Linked DNA regions of Oryctolagus cuniculus. The protein of the gene in region 4 interacts with the protein of the main gene of each other region in a biochemical or structural test. Links are inferred from orthologs where the notes say so. Each region holds a gene or a part of one and is shown on either strand. Other genes may lie near its edges. The genes, in order: PEF1, DCUN1D4, DCUN1D3 and CUL3.

What was found.
Region 1: the proteins of CUL3 (region 4) and PEF1 form a complex in vitro, tested with the Homo sapiens proteins (2 studies listed by BioGRID). The link is inferred for Oryctolagus cuniculus from reciprocal best matches to the Homo sapiens genes CUL3 and PEF1.
Region 2: the proteins of CUL3 (region 4) and DCUN1D4 form a complex in vitro, tested with the Homo sapiens proteins (2 studies listed by BioGRID, with this or other methods). The link is inferred for Oryctolagus cuniculus from reciprocal best matches to the Homo sapiens genes CUL3 and DCUN1D4.
Region 3: the proteins of CUL3 (region 4) and DCUN1D3 form a complex in vitro, tested with the Homo sapiens proteins (3 studies listed by BioGRID, with this or other methods). The link is inferred for Oryctolagus cuniculus from reciprocal best matches to the Homo sapiens genes CUL3 and DCUN1D3.

Annotation. Positions count from the first base shown.
Region 1 is NC_091438.1:140,775,599-140,779,777, forward strand, and holds the start of PEF1 (peflin), read left to right. Parts: upstream 1-1,340; 5' UTR 1,341-1,444; coding exon 1,445-1,510; intron 1,511-4,179. UniProt on the Homo sapiens protein: Calcium-binding protein that acts as an adapter that bridges unrelated proteins or stabilizes weak protein-protein complexes in response to calcium.
Region 2 is NC_091433.1:42,285,372-42,288,934, forward strand, and holds part of DCUN1D4 (DCN1-like protein 4), read left to right. Parts: intron 1-25; exon of another isoform or gene 26-81; intron 82-2,117; coding exon 2,118-2,222; intron 2,223-3,563. UniProt on the Homo sapiens protein: Contributes to the neddylation of all cullins by transferring NEDD8 from N-terminally acetylated NEDD8-conjugating E2s enzyme to different cullin C-terminal domain-RBX complexes which are necessary for the activation of cullin-RING E3 ubiquitin ligases (CRLs).
Region 3 is NC_091450.1:18,308,829-18,313,127, forward strand, and holds the start of DCUN1D3 (DCN1-like protein 3), read left to right. Parts: upstream 1-1,444; coding exon 1,445-1,875; exon of another isoform or gene 1,876-2,283; coding exon of another isoform or gene 2,284-2,293; exon of another isoform or gene 2,294-3,061; coding exon 3,062-3,545; 3' UTR 3,546-4,299. UniProt on the Homo sapiens protein: Contributes to the neddylation of all cullins by transferring NEDD8 from N-terminally acetylated NEDD8-conjugating E2s enzyme to different cullin C-terminal domain-RBX complexes and may play a role in the cell cycle progression by regulating the SCF ubiquitin E3 ligase complex, after UV damage.
Region 4 is NC_091434.1:14,714,533-14,718,095, forward strand, and holds part of CUL3 (cullin-3), read left to right. Parts: intron 1-28; coding exon 29-257; intron 258-3,563. UniProt on the Homo sapiens protein: Core component of multiple cullin-RING-based BCR (BTB-CUL3-RBX1) E3 ubiquitin-protein ligase complexes which mediate the ubiquitination and subsequent proteasomal degradation of target proteins.

The DNA.
Region 1 (4,179 bases), on a different chromosome or scaffold from region 4:
AGAGCACCCACTGCAAGCTGTCCAGCGGGCAAGGAGCATGGTCAGTGCCATGGTTTTAGGAAGTGCCCGGCTACGCGGTTAGATAGATGGGCTGCACTGGATTACAATTCAGAACACCAACCTACTCGTTATTTACTAAAAACTCAGTGCCAGGCTCCGTACCAGGAACCCACAGCAAACGAGGGCAAATCGCTGCCTCTCAGGAGCAGTTTCCTCATTTATGAAGACAAAGGGCATGGGATAATCTTATTTTCTGCCAACCCTGCGGTTTAATATTTTCTTCTGTACCTAAAAGGTAGTCGATACAGGTGAAATTGGCACTTTGAGATGCGATGACTTTGGACAGCCCTTGTCTCGACTGTTGAGGAAGAGTTTTTTTTTTTTTTTTTTTTCATACTATCTGTTGAACTCTTTACTTAGTGTAGCTAATCTTGTGTGTACAAAGTTTATTGAGAGGGGGCTGGCGCTGTGGTGTAGTTGGTAAAAAGCTGCTGCCTGCGATGCCGGCATCCCATGTGGGCACTGGTTGGAGTCCCAGCTGCTCTACTTCCAATCTCTCTGCTGTGGCCTGGCAAAGCAGTGGAAGATGGCCCAACTTCTTGGGCCCCTGCACCGGCGTGGGAGACCCGAGGGAGGCTCCTGGCTTTGGATCGGCTCAGCTCCAGCCGTTGCGGCCAGTTGGGGAGTGAACCAGCGGATGGAAGACCTCTCTCTCTCTCTCTCTGCCTCTTCCTCTCTCTCTGGGTAGCTCTAAATTTCAAATAAATAAATAAATCTTTAAAAAACTGAGAATAGATCTTAGTGGAAAATAAGAATGGGAACAGGAGTGGGAGGAATAGGAAGGGTGGCAGTGCAGGTGGGAAGAATCAGTATGTTCCTAAAGTCGTATTTATGAAACGCAGAAAGTTTGTATACCTTAAACAAAAGGTTTCTGGGTAAAAAAACACTTTCTTCTCCCAAAAACCTCAGATTTTACACCACTCCACGGCTACCGTCACCTGGTGCCTTAGAGCAGTGATTCCACCATCGCCTGTCCCTTCCAGGAGGCCGCAAGCAGTCCCCCGTCGTCATGGCAACAGTCGTCCCAGCTAGGCGGAAACTTGGCGTGACGACAGCAACTACGCCACTATCATGCGTCCCCTTTTCCAGGTTATAATATGGCCACCGCAGCTACACAGAACCCGGATTTTCTCACTAAATACTCGGGCCTCACCAGCCCTGGAGCCTACTCCAGGTCAGGAAAGAGAGGAACACACATGCCAAGACAGCTGCCAAAACTTCCGGAAACCTCCGCCCAGAGCTAAGCTCCTCTGGTCAGGCGGGAAGAAGGCCCCCACCCTGTAGCGTCACTTCCGTCGGCCAACATATTTAGGATTGACAGTCACGGGCGTCCACTGAAAAGCGGGTCCGCCCCCCGGTTTACGCAAAGGGCGGGTTTGAGAGCATGAAGCCCCGCCCCTCGTTGACGTGTGACGTCAGAGTCGCCATGGCGAGCTATCCGTACGGGCAGGTGAGTGTGTGAGGGGTTGGTGAGTGCAGATAGGGGCCGTGCCAGGCCCAAACTGGGGGTCTCCTCAGCTCTTCTTCCCCCGGCTTTCACCGCGTGCTTTCCACGCTGAAAGTTCGCTTCAGCGAAGCTTCGCGCGAGAGGGAAGGGGAAAGGCACGGTCGGTCGCACCCGGCTCACGTCATACGGGACAGCGCGAGTGGGCTGTCTTGTCGCGCCCCCTCTGACGTCGCGCCTGCGAGAATTTGGAGGCCTTGGACCCCGCCTGGGCTCTGCGCGCTCCCTCAGGCCCCGAGGCCCTCGCGGGGAACCCGGGCGGGCTCTTCAGCGGAGCTCTGTTTCCTCTGGCATCATCTGGGGCGTGGGGTGGGGAAGCAGCAGGTGTCCGGACCCAGCCCACACGCAGTGCTGGAGACTAATCGGGGTTCTGTGGTTGAGCTGGTTTGACTGCTGTGTAACACGTCCATTTTCCGCAGGGAGAGTGAAGCCCCGACGGCGGCGGGCGGTTTAGGTAGCAGAGCTGAGGTCCGCCGGGCCGGGCTGGCCGTGGCCAGAGCTCTATGTGGGTGACAGAATAGGAGGTGATTAAGTGCAGTTTGGAGTCAGAGGAGGGTCTGCCCCAGGCTCCATCAGTAGTCTTGAGCCCTTGAGCAAGGTGTTTTGTCTCTCCAAGCGAAGTGCCCTCTCTAGAACAGCGCCGGCTCAGACGCCGAGTCATGGAGCTGTTAGACCCAGGCGAGGCTTGTGAAGCGGGGGGCACCAGACTCCTAAAAGCTCAGTGCTAGGAGGGCCCCCAAAATGGCCCCCTCGTTTTACAGAGGAGGCTGAAACCCAGAGAGGGCCCTGCATTGTCCACGGTTGCACATCAGGAAACATCAGACGGTGACCAGATGGGATATTACAGAGCACCAGACGGAGTGTAGTTTGGTCACGTGCCTAAAGATGCGGTGCCAGTCCTTCCCGGGAGAGCAGCCTTGTGCTGTTGACACAGCGTCTGGAGCCCCGTTTTCCAGGGGTGGACGCCCCGGAGGCAAGCAGGGGTTACTCGGGTTACTCCCCCCCCCCCCAGCTGAGGGAAGAAGTCAGGTGGCTTGACAGAGGTCACACCCAGCCAGTGAGGCCAGGGCTGGAGCTTAGAACCCCATTCATTGCTGGATTGGCACAGGTAGGGAGGAGAGGGACCAGTGAGGGCTGGGGGCAGGAGGAAGTAGAATGGAATAGTGTTTCCCAAACTCGTTCCATTGCTGAGTTGTGGGGTCCAGTAGATAATTGCCATTAGAGGAGGATCCTAGGGTCAAGTAAGTTTGTTCATGGAGAACTTCAGAATTTTTTAAAGTTGTTTTATTGCAAAAGCAGAGAGAGAGACATTTTCCATCTGCTGGCTCACCCCTCAAATGTGTATGACAACCAAGGCTGTGTGGGGCCAAAGCCAGGAGCCCAGAATTTGATCTGGGTCTCTCCCATGTGGGTGACAGGGACCCAGGTACTTGAGCCATCATCTGCACCCTCCCAGGGTGCACCTCAGCAGGAAGCTGGCTGGGGAGCAGAGCAGCCAGGATCCAACTAGGCCCTTCCACATGGGACACAGGTGTCCCAAGCCGCGGCTTAACTGCCTTTTAAAAAAACTGGTCATTTTTGTGGTGACGTTAGGATTCCCGAGTAACACAGACTGGGAAATCATGGCCACAGTGTGTTGTTTCTCAGTGGCTGGTCCTAAGCATCGGAATCACCAGAGAGCTTGTTAAAAATACACTTTTGGGTCCCATCTCTGACATGTTCTAGGCCCAAAAATGGCCCAGGAAACTGCATTTTAATAAGCTTTAGGGGTGGTTTTGTATGCAGCTAAGGAGCAACGACAGGTTAGGCAGAGCTGGGCTAGACTCTTTTTTTTTTCTTTTTTTAAAGATTTATTTATTTGAAAGGCAAGGTTACAGAAAGCAGAGAGAGAGAGAGAGAGGAGAGGTGTCTTCCATCCGCTGGTTCACTCCCCAAATGGCTACAACAGCCAGAGCTGAGCCGATCTGAAGCCAGGAGCCAGGAGCTTCCTCCAAGTCTCCCAGGTGGGTGCAGGGGTCCAAGGACTTGAGCCATCCTCCACTGCTTTCCCAGGTCAGAGAGCTGGATTGGAAGTGGAGCAGCCAGGACTCGAACCGGCGTCCACATGGGATGCCAGCTCTGCAGGCGGCGGCTCCCGGGCTGGACTCTTAATTACCATGTGCCTTAGACAAGCTAGACTCTGAGCCGCAGTGTCTTCAGCTATAAAGAGGAACAGGAGCTGTGCTAATACCTGATCAGACCTTCGCTAACAATGCAGTGACCCTGGGAGTCCTCTCACTGTCTTCCCCCGACTTCCCCACAGCCCAGATTCCGCCTCAGTTGGTGGCTGTCCCGCCTGCATCTTGTGCAAGCTGGAAACCTGTTAAAAGGGCTGAAATGAGGATGAAATGTAATGACACCTATGTAAGGGAGCTTGCCACGTTGTTGGTACACAGCAAATGCCAATGCATAGTGGTAGCTCTTGGTGCCGCAGTTGCTGTTATGCCACACTCCCTGGGCTCTGCCCGTAGTGAACTGCTGGATAGGTGTGCAAAGAACAATGTGTAGAAATCCTCCAAGTGGGAGAGTAATGCAGACATGTAAATCCTACGTAGAATCGGAGTGATCAGTGGTAA
Region 2 (3,563 bases), on a different chromosome or scaffold from region 4:
ATAATGTCTTTCTCTTATTTGCTAGGCAGAAGATGGTGTTAGTGATTGCGAGCTGCTGGCTGGCACCCTTGCAGAGCAGGAGTAAGTGAGTGCTGCTCAGCTTTCCGGTCCTGTGAGTCTGATCCTTTCCTCCATGTTTTGGCACCGCTGCCAAACACATACGTTGAAATCCTTCATGATCGTCATCAGTTTGTTGGATGGTTATATTGTTGCGAAGAGTCTGTCCAGCTCCTTTGTATCTTTTTTTCTTTTTTGTCACCTTAGTGTATGTCCACTGTGACGGGGACATAGGAGTTGATGATGATGATGATGATGGAAGAAGACACAGTACTTATCAAAGCAAGACTAGAGATTGGGCTTCAGTGACTTGAGTACAAACTCTCCCCAGGGAAAACTTTTCCAGAGGGCCAGTGCTGTCAGCCCCACGCTGCACGAGCTCTTGTGTTGACAAATGGACGTGGCCTGGTCCTGTGGTGCTGCTTGTGTTTCCTAACAGTTTTTCTTGTAGATTGCTTCATAGGATAGTATGCTAATGCCGTCTGCCGCACCTGTGTTATGGAGTAAGAGGAAGTTGCCATTTGCTTGCCCAGTGTATCACTGAAGTATAAGGCCTTGAAACTCAACTAACCAATGAGGCTTGATTGGCAAAAGGCAGGCAATCTCTAGAGCGCCTCTTCTACTGTCCTCTTCTCCACTAGTAATAAATGCACCCCAGAACAGGCAGTCTGCATGGCCAAGGGATGGGTGGAGAATGCCTTGGAGAGGAGGCCCCACTTACTTGCGTAAACTGGGGAACTACAGCATCCCTGCCATCTTGAGACTTCAGCTGCCTGTCAGCAGAGAAGGGTGACTTGGAGCCACCTGACCTCTTCTCTTTGTGAACAGTGGTCACACTTTATGACTGGGACCAAAACTCAGATCTACTGCACATCTCCGTTAAGTAGCACGTCTCTGTGTCTTCATCTCCCTTGTGTGCTGTTATTGACTAAGGCCCTTACATTGGCTGTATTGTTTCTTCACTTTTAAAGTCAGTGGCATGCCTCAAATTCTTTGTATACTGAAGAGCATTTCACTGTTTGAGTCCTTGAGGTGACAGTTAATTCTACCTGAAGGGACATGTAGTTGCATGCCACAGCATCGTCCCTTACTTTGGTGAATATTTAGATTCAACTCCTGTGGGGTAGCCAGGCACTTTCTCCCTTTGTCAAAAAATATGTTTACATATTTTCTCTCTTATTAAGAAACCATGTGGTGGCCAGCTTTGTAAGGTTACTACCACTAGTCCCAGGCCCTCCATCCCTTTCCATAGAAACTACCCCCTTGTGGTTCCAGAATGGAAACTTGTAAGAAAGATGAGAATGAGGAATCAGGATCGTTAACTGCAAATGTAAATGGACTAAACGTAATCTAGGTTTGTGTACTCTCTCTTCTGGTTTCCTAGGAAATATTGTCCTTTGCTTGTTTACTAGTTTGGGGGTATTTGGTTAGGAGATTCAAGTCTGAGAACTCCAAGGTAAGCAGGGCTTTATAGGCAGACATCCTACTTGCCCCGGAGCCTGTGGATGAACACATCCTTTGATAGGGGAGCCTCAAAGCCCCAACGATTATTAACAATTTAATTCTAGCATGCTTAGGTATGAACAAAAATTTACCTCATAAGGTAAAACTATTGGAAAAAATGATTTGTTTTTGAAGGAAACCTGATTCCTAAGCATGCAAATCAAAACCTTTAAATTAAGTTATAGGCTTTAAGATCAACAATTGTGATTTTATAATTACAAATGTCAAGTCAAGCTATCGAGTTACAGATTTTTATTTTTCTTGGGAAATGAGTACTGGTACTACATAACTCAGTGATTTTGCATCAGGATCATCATTCAGTAGACATGAGTTTCTTACAGTAAATTTATAATTTATATAGTACTGACACGTTCAAGCCTTCCGCCATGTTTGACTGCCTTCCCTCCCCCGCCTTAGCTTTTGAATCAGGGTTTTTGTGGTTATATGGTAAATGAGCTGTTTACTAATTTCTTGTTGAAGTGAAATACAAATTTGGATGATTGGAATTTGTTATTTTGGGGGCATCTGGCTCATCCTTGTTTTTGTTTGTTAAACAGGAAAAGGACCAGCGCAGCCTAGACATAAACACTGCCAAGTGCATGTTGGGACTGTTATTAGGAAAAATCTGGCCCCTTTTTCCAGTTTTTCACCAATTCTTAGAGGTACCAAATTGTTATTTTATGAAATGTATGTTTGCTTGCTTAGAACTACCAAATATACTTTAACCATTTTATGTAATGTTTTTGTTTGTTGTGCTTTCTGCCTGTAGGAATTCTGGTGACAAACTTGCTGTCATTCAGCAATGACCTCTCTTCTCGGAGCGCATTTGTGTATGCGTGTAACACTGTGTTGCATCACTCCACGTTACAGATATGTCAGAAATGGCCACAGCTCTGTCCTTTCCTCTCCTTTCTCATCTCCATTTTAAAAGCTTCATTTTGTTTAGATTTCCTGCTCCTTATAACAATGGAGAAGACCGGCTTTCTTTTGGAGGAACTTCCACTTTTATTAAGTAAAGGTTAAAAAAACAGTCATCTGCCTTCTTACTAAAATCAGTTTGTTGTCACTTCTTGTCTACTTTTATCTCTAAGGACCTTAGCTCAGTCTAGTCCTAGGCAAACTGACAGTATCTCCTTTGGTTTAACTTTTCTTCAGCTTTGTATCAGAAAGAATCCATTACCTTACACCATCATTGTGTTTTGTTGAAGTATTGGTGACTGAATATTCTGGTTGTTGTTGAAATGTCATCATGCAGGATCTGGAGGGATCTGAGATACAGACTGGAATTACTTGGGTTGTCATGTATCTTGGCTAAGCCCTTTTTTTTTTTTTTAAAAAAAAAAAATGCCCTCAGCCTGCAGAGATGTGGGTGCTGGGTCTCTGAGAAAGTCCAGGGCCTTCCCTTGGCTCCAGCTTCCCTCTTGAAGTCATCCTTCTTGCGACTTACTTTGTGTAATGGTCCAGAAAAGCTTAGCAACAGATACCGTTCTTTGAGGACTGTTATTAAAGTTGGTCTTAATGTAAGAAACATTTGTTTACACACTAGTTCATATGTACATTCTTGTATGGCTTGTTCTAATTTCTCAGACAACCCTATGAGATAAATTAGCACCATTCAGAAAATAAATGGACTCGGTTCTTGTTCTCAGCAAGCACAGCAGGACCTGAGCCTGAGTGTAAAGGTTTCTTTAGCCGAAAGACATTGCCAATTTGACTTTGCACAATTCTGGGAGCATTGTCAACTATTTTAAGACTGGTTTTTATTTTTAGGTGCATAGAAAGCTAAAAAAGAAACAGTAATTTTTTGATTTCTGCTTTTCTTGTGTTTGCATCCTTAAAATCATTGGTAACTCTCTGGGCTTTTTATGTACCTGTATTATTTTATGATATTTCTTGATCTCAGTGGTGAGGATTTATAAATTTTTGGCTCCAGATTTTATTTCTAAATTTATAATGATATAAGGATACAGTATTTAAAATATAACTATGGCTTATTTCTTGTC
Region 3 (4,299 bases), on a different chromosome or scaffold from region 4:
CAGTTCTGAGTCCTAGGATCTCTGCTTCTGATCCAGCTTCCTCCTAATGCATCCTGGGAGGCAGCCTAAGTGCCTGGGAGGCTTAAGTGCTTGGGCTCTTTCCACCCATGGAGAGACCTGGATGGACTTCTAGGTTCCTGGCTTTGGCCTGGCCCAGCATAGTTGTTGTGGGCATTTGGGGAGTGAACCAGCACAAGAAAGATCTCTGTGTCTCTGTCTCTGTTGCCATTTAAGTAGATAAAAATAAACACGTAAGAAAAAAAGGAGCCCTGGATAGACAGGGTAGTCTCAGAGAAATTACATTCCCTTTAGGTCCCTTTCCGATGGGGGTGGCAGGGCCCCAAGCACTGGGGCCATCATCTGCTGCCTCCCAAGATGCAGGAGCAGGAGGCTGGGTCAGAAACTGAGTAGCTAGGACTCCAGGACGGCATGTGAGCATCCCAAGCAGTGGCTTATCCTTTTGCATCACAATTCCTGCCCCCATATCCTACCATTTTTAGAAGATCGTATTTAGACAAATCAGTCCTTTAGAGCAGAGACACATACCCCATTAGAAGCCTGCTAGGACTGTCATGTTTAATGAGAACTTGGCATGCATTCTGTACAGCCTCACTAAAGACATAAAAGGGAGGGAATAAAAAAAAAAAAAGCTCCTAGGTTAGGAGACTTTGCTTGGAGTACAGGGATGGTGAATGGCTTCCGTAGCTGAGCAAAGAAAGGGCCTTACACCTGCTATGTGGGATAGGCCCAGAAAGGGATCTGGAGAGATCAGGGATGAACTTTACTTTGATGTTTGGTTCTGCCCTTGTTCGCAGGCCTGACACTGCAAATCCCTTACCTCATTGTTAAGCTATTGTGAGACCCTATAGTTGTTTTGGGTATGGCCACTCCCTCCCTCTATTAATCCCATGTATGGAAAAAGAAAATCTGAGTGTGACGGTGTTAAAAACTAGAAAATAAACCTTATATTTGTACCCTCTGGCTTAATCCAGGTCCACATAAATTTTTTGCATGATGATGAATTGGCAAGACAGATTTCCTCTGGAATATTTGGCAGAACTGTGGTCTTTGATGTGTTCTGCACATGAATCAGCTTCTTTGTAACCTGTTACCTTAAGAATTTTAGGAATTTCCCATATTGGTTTTCCATATGTGCCATAGCCACTGCTTTTCCAAGGCAAGTTACAGAGCTGGCTTATCAGGGAGGTGATCTCCCTTCATTCCTTGTTGGCTCATTGAAACGCAGTGATCCCCAGGAAGCAGTCCCCAGAGGGTGGTGCCCCCGCCCATGCCCTGTGTTCTGTGTTCAAGAGGTGACTGCTTTCCAATTTCCTCCCAGGTTGGCTGGTTCCTCTGGCTGATGGCATGTTGAAGTACATGGGCCAGCGGCAGCGAGGGCATCCATTCCAGAGGGGGCCACTTTAGAGGCCAGGCCGCCAGCACCATGGGCCAGTGTGTCACCAAGTGCAAGAATCCCTCATCAACCTTGGGCAGCAAGAATGGAGACCGGGACTCCAGCAGCAAATCACACAGCAGGCGAAGTGCAGGCCACCGTGAGGAACAGGTGCCACCTTGTGGCAAGCCAGGTGGGGATATCCTCGTCAATGGGACCAAGAAGGCGGAGGCTGCCACTGAGGTCTGCCAGTTGCCAACGTCCTCGGGAGATGCTGGGAGGGAGTCCAAGTCCAATGCTGAAGAGTCTTCCTTGCAGAGGTTGGAAGAACTGTTCAGGCGCTACAAGGACGAGCGGGAGGATGCAATTTTGGAAGAAGGCATGGAACGCTTTTGCAATGACCTATGTGTCGACCCCACGGAATTTCGAGTGCTGCTCTTGGCTTGGAAGTTCCAGGCTGCTACCATGTGCAAATTCACCAGGTTAGTTACAAATACTTCATGTTACCAGGTGAGCAGAGGAGGAAACGGAGCAATGTTGTGCAGGAGTGCTCAGCTAGGATAACTGGGTCAGCTGCATGGGGTTTGGGGAAGGGAAAATCCTTGTGCTCTGACCAGTTTCTCAAAAGCAGATGTTTTGAGCTAAGTTGTGTTCCTGATCCAGAGAAGGCCTCCCCCTGCCACCTCCCTCCCAAGACTCCTCTGAGGGTTTAAAAAAGTAAGTGCCTGACTCTGTAGCAGACCCACTCAATAGGAATCTTGAGGTACTTGAGAATTCACTGTCCGTCCTGTGGCAGGTGCTGTGTGTGCCAGTACAGTGAGAACCTCCAGGGATGTGCCTCTGCCACTCCGTGAGCCCAGTTGTCCCTTCTCATCCTTACCGTATTGCCCTCAGCCAGACCTGTATGAAACAAGGACAGGTGGCCCAGTTATCAAGCAGCAGTTTCATGTCGTTGTGGTCTTATATCCCTGTAGAAGTTGCTTGTGGGTGAAGACGTGACAGGGTCACCCCAAGGGGTGGTTTGCTGAGCGCAGGTTATGAGACCTGGCCAAGCCATTTCTAGTCTATATGCCCCCAGGTAGCTTACCCTCCAGACCTGGACTCCCTAATCTTGGTGGGTACAGCAGTCCCAGAGAGGAAACCGTGCTGTCAGCTGGAAGTGTTACAAAGATGTTAAATATGTGTACGCAAGTTTTGTTATTTAATAGCACAGTTTTTATCTCTGGTGGCAGACTTAAATTTTATCCTGCCTCTCGGGCTCCAGAAGTGTCTCTTGGCTGTCACCAGAAAGATACCAAAACAACCCAGAGAGAATCGAAAGGGAGGCAGGAAGGCTTCTCCATCGAGGAGAAAGAGGCTGCAACCTCATCACCAGTGCAGGGCAGCAGACCCAGCAGGAGGCAGGGGACTAGCTGCCTGCCGTGTGCTTGGCAGTGTTGGAAACACTCGGTACTCGTGCTAACGTGTTTACCCCTCACCAGAACCCTGCAAGGTGAGGTGTAACATTTACTCACCACTTGGCAGATGAGGAAGGAGGACTACTTAGTGCAGGAGCTGGCATTTGATCCAGGCCATCCTGCCTCAATGCCATACTCTTGATTACTATACTCTGTTGCCCTCGGTAAATAATATCGGTTATAACTAATTTGTGCCTTCTTTCTGTTGCAGGAAGGAGTTTTTCGATGGCTGCAAGGCAATAAGTGCAGACAGCATTGACGGGATCTGTGCGCGGTTCCCTAGCCTCTTAACAGAAGCCAAACAGGAGGATAAATTCAAGGATCTCTACCGGTTTACATTTCAGTTTGGCCTGGACTCTGAAGAAGGGCAGCGGTCACTGCATCGGGAAATAGCCATTGCCCTGTGGAAACTAGTCTTCACTCAAAACAACCCTCCAGTATTGGACCAGTGGCTAAACTTCCTAACAGAGAACCCCTCGGGGATCAAGGGCATCTCCCGGGACACTTGGAACATGTTCCTTAACTTCACTCAGGTGATTGGCCCCGACCTCAGCAACTACAGTGAAGATGAGGCCTGGCCAAGTCTCTTTGATACCTTTGTGGAGTGGGAAATGGAGCGAAGGAAAAGAGAAGGGGAAGGGAGAGGTGCACTCAGCTCAGGGCCCGAGGGCTTGTGTCCCGAGGAGCAGACTTAGTGGCTCTGTCCCAGGAGCAGCAGCAAAGAGCTGCCTGCTGTCCTGCAGCCAACCAAGGAATTGGACCTTTCTGGAAATTACTGAAGATCCGGATATTTTCTACTTTACACCTTTCTCTGCCTTGTATCTGAAAGGGCTCTAAAATGCTGTATCATGTTTTAGGCACTTTCTTCATTTTTTGGTTATTTTGGTTATTTCTTTTTTTTGGGGGGGGTAATCCCCCAAAATATTTGAACCTGGCTACATGTTGTGTATCTTTTTTTGAAGCCTTCAGATAGAATAAGTCTGCCATTTCTTGCACAAATTGGATGATTTTTTTTTTTTTTTTTGGTGGGGGCCAGTATAGAGCCGGGTGGGGGGAATGGGACTGTTCGGTTGAATTAACATTACAAAATGATACAGTGCCAGATCTCAGTTTTGCATACTGTTTTTCAGGGCAGGTCTGTACTGTGTGTAGTGCTGTTTACATGGTTGAATTTAGGTTGTAATAATTATTTTTAAAGATTTACACAGATTTTGAGTAGCAGTGTTAACTGTTAACCACATTGCATTAATTTCCAGACAAGTTTAGAGCTCTTGGGGAGCTGAGGCCAGTCAAGAGCGTTTGTGTAGTCTGGTGATAACTTCCCTTTTAAGCTAATTTATCCAAAACCCTTATTTCCCTCACTTCTTGCTCATTCCTTCTTTGACCTACTGCATTTCATGTTGAATTTATCCATGAACATGCTGCACCTGTCAGTCAAGTGAGCAGTGT
Region 4 (3,563 bases):
GAAAAAAAATCATTCTTATTAATTACAGATGGAAAGCCAGAAATTTTTAGCAGAGAACAGTGCTTCCGTATATATAAAGAAAGTAGAAGCTAGAATTAATGAAGAAATAGAACGGGTGATGCACTGCCTTGACAAATCAACTGAAGAACCAATTGTAAAAGTGGTTGAGAGGGAACTCATTTCCAAGCACATGAAGACTATAGTAGAAATGGAGAATTCTGGTCTAGTCCATATGTTGAAAAATGGAAAGACAGAAGGTAGGTGTGTTACCAGTTGAAAATCAGTTAAATTCATATATGACCTATCAATTTTTTTATTCTTCTGCAATTAAAGTAGATTATAAATGTCGGTTTTCAGGAAGTTGTGGTTTGTGTCATTAATTTATTACCTTGTTACTTTCTTTTTTACAATTTTAGGTAGTTCTAGTGAATTGAATGACTTTTCTTTTTCTCCTATCCCTCAAGTCTCCTCACTTTGTTTTTCTTATGTGGACAGTAAGAGGTTTAATAATATTGATGTGACTCGTAGTTGAGCTCCTTATTCATTTCTGTATTTTATTTTTATATAGTGGTGGATTTGGCTACTTACTATGCCCATGTACTCTCAAGTTTTTGTGATTCTTTTAAAATCTGAAATCCACATTTTAAAATTTCTGTAGGATTTTCTGTGGAACTTAATTTTGATAAGTGAGCCAAAATGTAAAAATAAGTTTTTTTAAATTATTAGTAAAATACATACAGGGATATGTGTGATTCCATTATACATATTTCTCAAATGTTGTTAGTACTTGTTGACTTGTAATTTCCTATTAATGAAAACTTGAAACTTTACAATTTCAAACCAACTAAATTATTGAAGGTGAAGCTAAATAAAAATACTGACATATTTAGGAAAACTAATAGATTGGTTTGGAGGAACTCTGAAGTGATAGACTGGTAGAAAAGGAGTAGAAATTACAGAAATTAAAGGTAAGCATTTTTGACCTAATTGTAACATTTATTCTTTAGGGCTTTTTTCTTCCTGTTTAAAAAAAAAAATATTGAGCAGCCTAGGAGAAATATTAGAAGTAGAACAACAACAATCAAAGGATCTCATTCTTCTAAAATTTAAATTTTTCACTTTCTAAACTACTGATAATGGTAATAAACATAAGTAAGCATGATTTATTCTTGCTTTCTTTCCTTGATGAAATCTTAGCAATAACTTAGCCATTTATCCTTACTAAAGGAAATACATGTTTCCTATTGGGTTCATGACCTAAGAAGCAGGGAATGAAAAACATCTTTATGTGAGAGGCAGAGAGAATGCCCCCTTCCTGCTGATCCCCAGATGTCCAAACTTGCAGGAGCTGAGCCTGGCCTGAATTGGGAACCGGGAAATCAATCTAGGTCTCCAACATCATTTGCAGGAACCCAATTAGTTGAGCCATTCATTACCTGCTACTTCTAGAGTACATTTTAGCTAGAATTGGAACTGAGAGCCAGAACCCAGATATGGGCATGCCAGCTGGCATCTTAACCACTCGGCTAACCACCTATCCAGGAAACAGTTTTTCAAAGAAGAGTTGCAAAGGGAGGAAGGTGCATAAGAAAGGAAAAGAAAACTGATAGGAGGAGGGGATTACTCATCTTTTTTTTTTTTTTTTTTTTTTTTTTTGACAGGCAGAGTGGACAGTGAGAGAGAGAGACAGAGAGAAAGGTCTTCTTTTTTTGCCATTGGTTCACCCTCCAATGGCCGCCGCGGCCGGCGCACCGTGCTGATCCGATGGCAGGAGCCAGGTACTTCTCCTGGTCTCCCATGGGGTGCAGGGCCCAAGGACTTGCGCCATCCTCCACTGCACTCCCGGGCCACAGCAGAGAGCTGGCCTGGAAGAGGGGCAACTGGGACAGAATCCGGTGCCCCGACCGGGACTGGAACTCAGTGTGCCGGCACCGCAAGGCGGAGGATTAGCCTAGTGAGCCGCAGCGCTGGCCCATCTATTTTTACTAGTGAAATTCTTGCCTTGTGTTTTTTAATGGTTACATTTCTGTATATGTGACAAATTCATAAAAGTTGTATGTAACTTTGTTGTTTTTATTAAATTTTATTAAATTAAATATCTTAATAAAAGATATTAAATCAGAAACTTCTAATAGGATTTGTCTGATAAACTTGTTTGGTAAAAGCAAAAAAACAAAACAAAAATCATGTTTTAGTTTGTTTGCCATGTTTTATAAAATAAGGTACTCTTGTAACGTTTAAACCGGGGATAGGTGAAGTTCTTTTGGTAAAGGACAAGCTAGTCAATATTTTAGGCTCCGAGGCTATACATTCAATTACTCATCTCTGCTGTCATAGTGAGGATGTAGCCTTAGACAGTAACTCAAATGAATATGCTTGACTGTGTCCGTATAAAACTATTGGATTTTCAGATGTCACTAAATATTTTTCTTTTAATATTTTCTGCAACCATTAAAAAATGTGAAAACCATTTTTAATTTATGAGCTGATCAAAAATAAGTGCCAGCCTGTATTCAGTCCACAGGCTGTAATTTGATGAGCCCTGGCTGAGTAGGACTTTATGAAAAGTGAGAATGATTGTCTATATTAACTGATGTACTATTCAAGGATTGATTTAGTGCTTTCCTGCTTACCTTTAGAATGTGTGGGGAGAGGTGATTAAATACTCAAAAGATTAGGGCTAGGAAATGTTTGATGAAGAGATTGTTGGGATATTCCTGAATTAATACCATCTCTATAACCTGCATGGAGACTTGTGTTAAAGGTATTAATTATGCCTAACATACTTACTTAATGTTTTCAGCAAGTATTTGTGACTCTAAATTAAATTTTTCAATTTTGCCTTCAATTTATTTGAACTGCTGCTGGAAACCTAATTGTGAAATGTCTTAATTGTGGTAGGCCCTGCTCTTGAGCAGTATGTTGAAAGAATATCAGAGACACAACTTCATCATTATGAAGCCAAATTCTCATAAATCAGAAAGTAAAAGACAACTTTGTCACTGTGAATGGAAGATAAAGTTGGATTATTAGATGCAGACAGCACTATGAAATTAAGTTCAAATGGTATCTTTTTATTGTCTTATTAAGTGTATATAGAAATAATGATACTTGATTTTTGAATTTCAAATATTTTTCATTAACTTTTCCATTCTCTACTACCTCATACATTTAAATGAGTACAGTGAAAGTATCTCATACAACATGCAATATCTAAATAAAATTTATAACAACACAAAATACTCAAGTGGGCAACTATTTTGTTAGAGGTATTTATGTCAAATTTACTATTTTACATATTCATAAATAGCTATTGCAATTTTAACACCTATTTTTAAAAGGCGTAACATTTGTATATTCATTATTTGAAAGGCAGAGAGAGAGAGCGCGATCTTCCATCTGCTGGTGCACTCTCCCTATACCGGCGGCAACCAGGGCTGGGCCAGTGTGAAGCCAAGAGCCCAGAACTCCGTTTGAGTATCCAGTATGAGTGGCAGGAACTGAAGTATTTGGGACATTATCTGCTACTTTCTCAGTGGCATTAACAGGAAGCTGGATCAGAA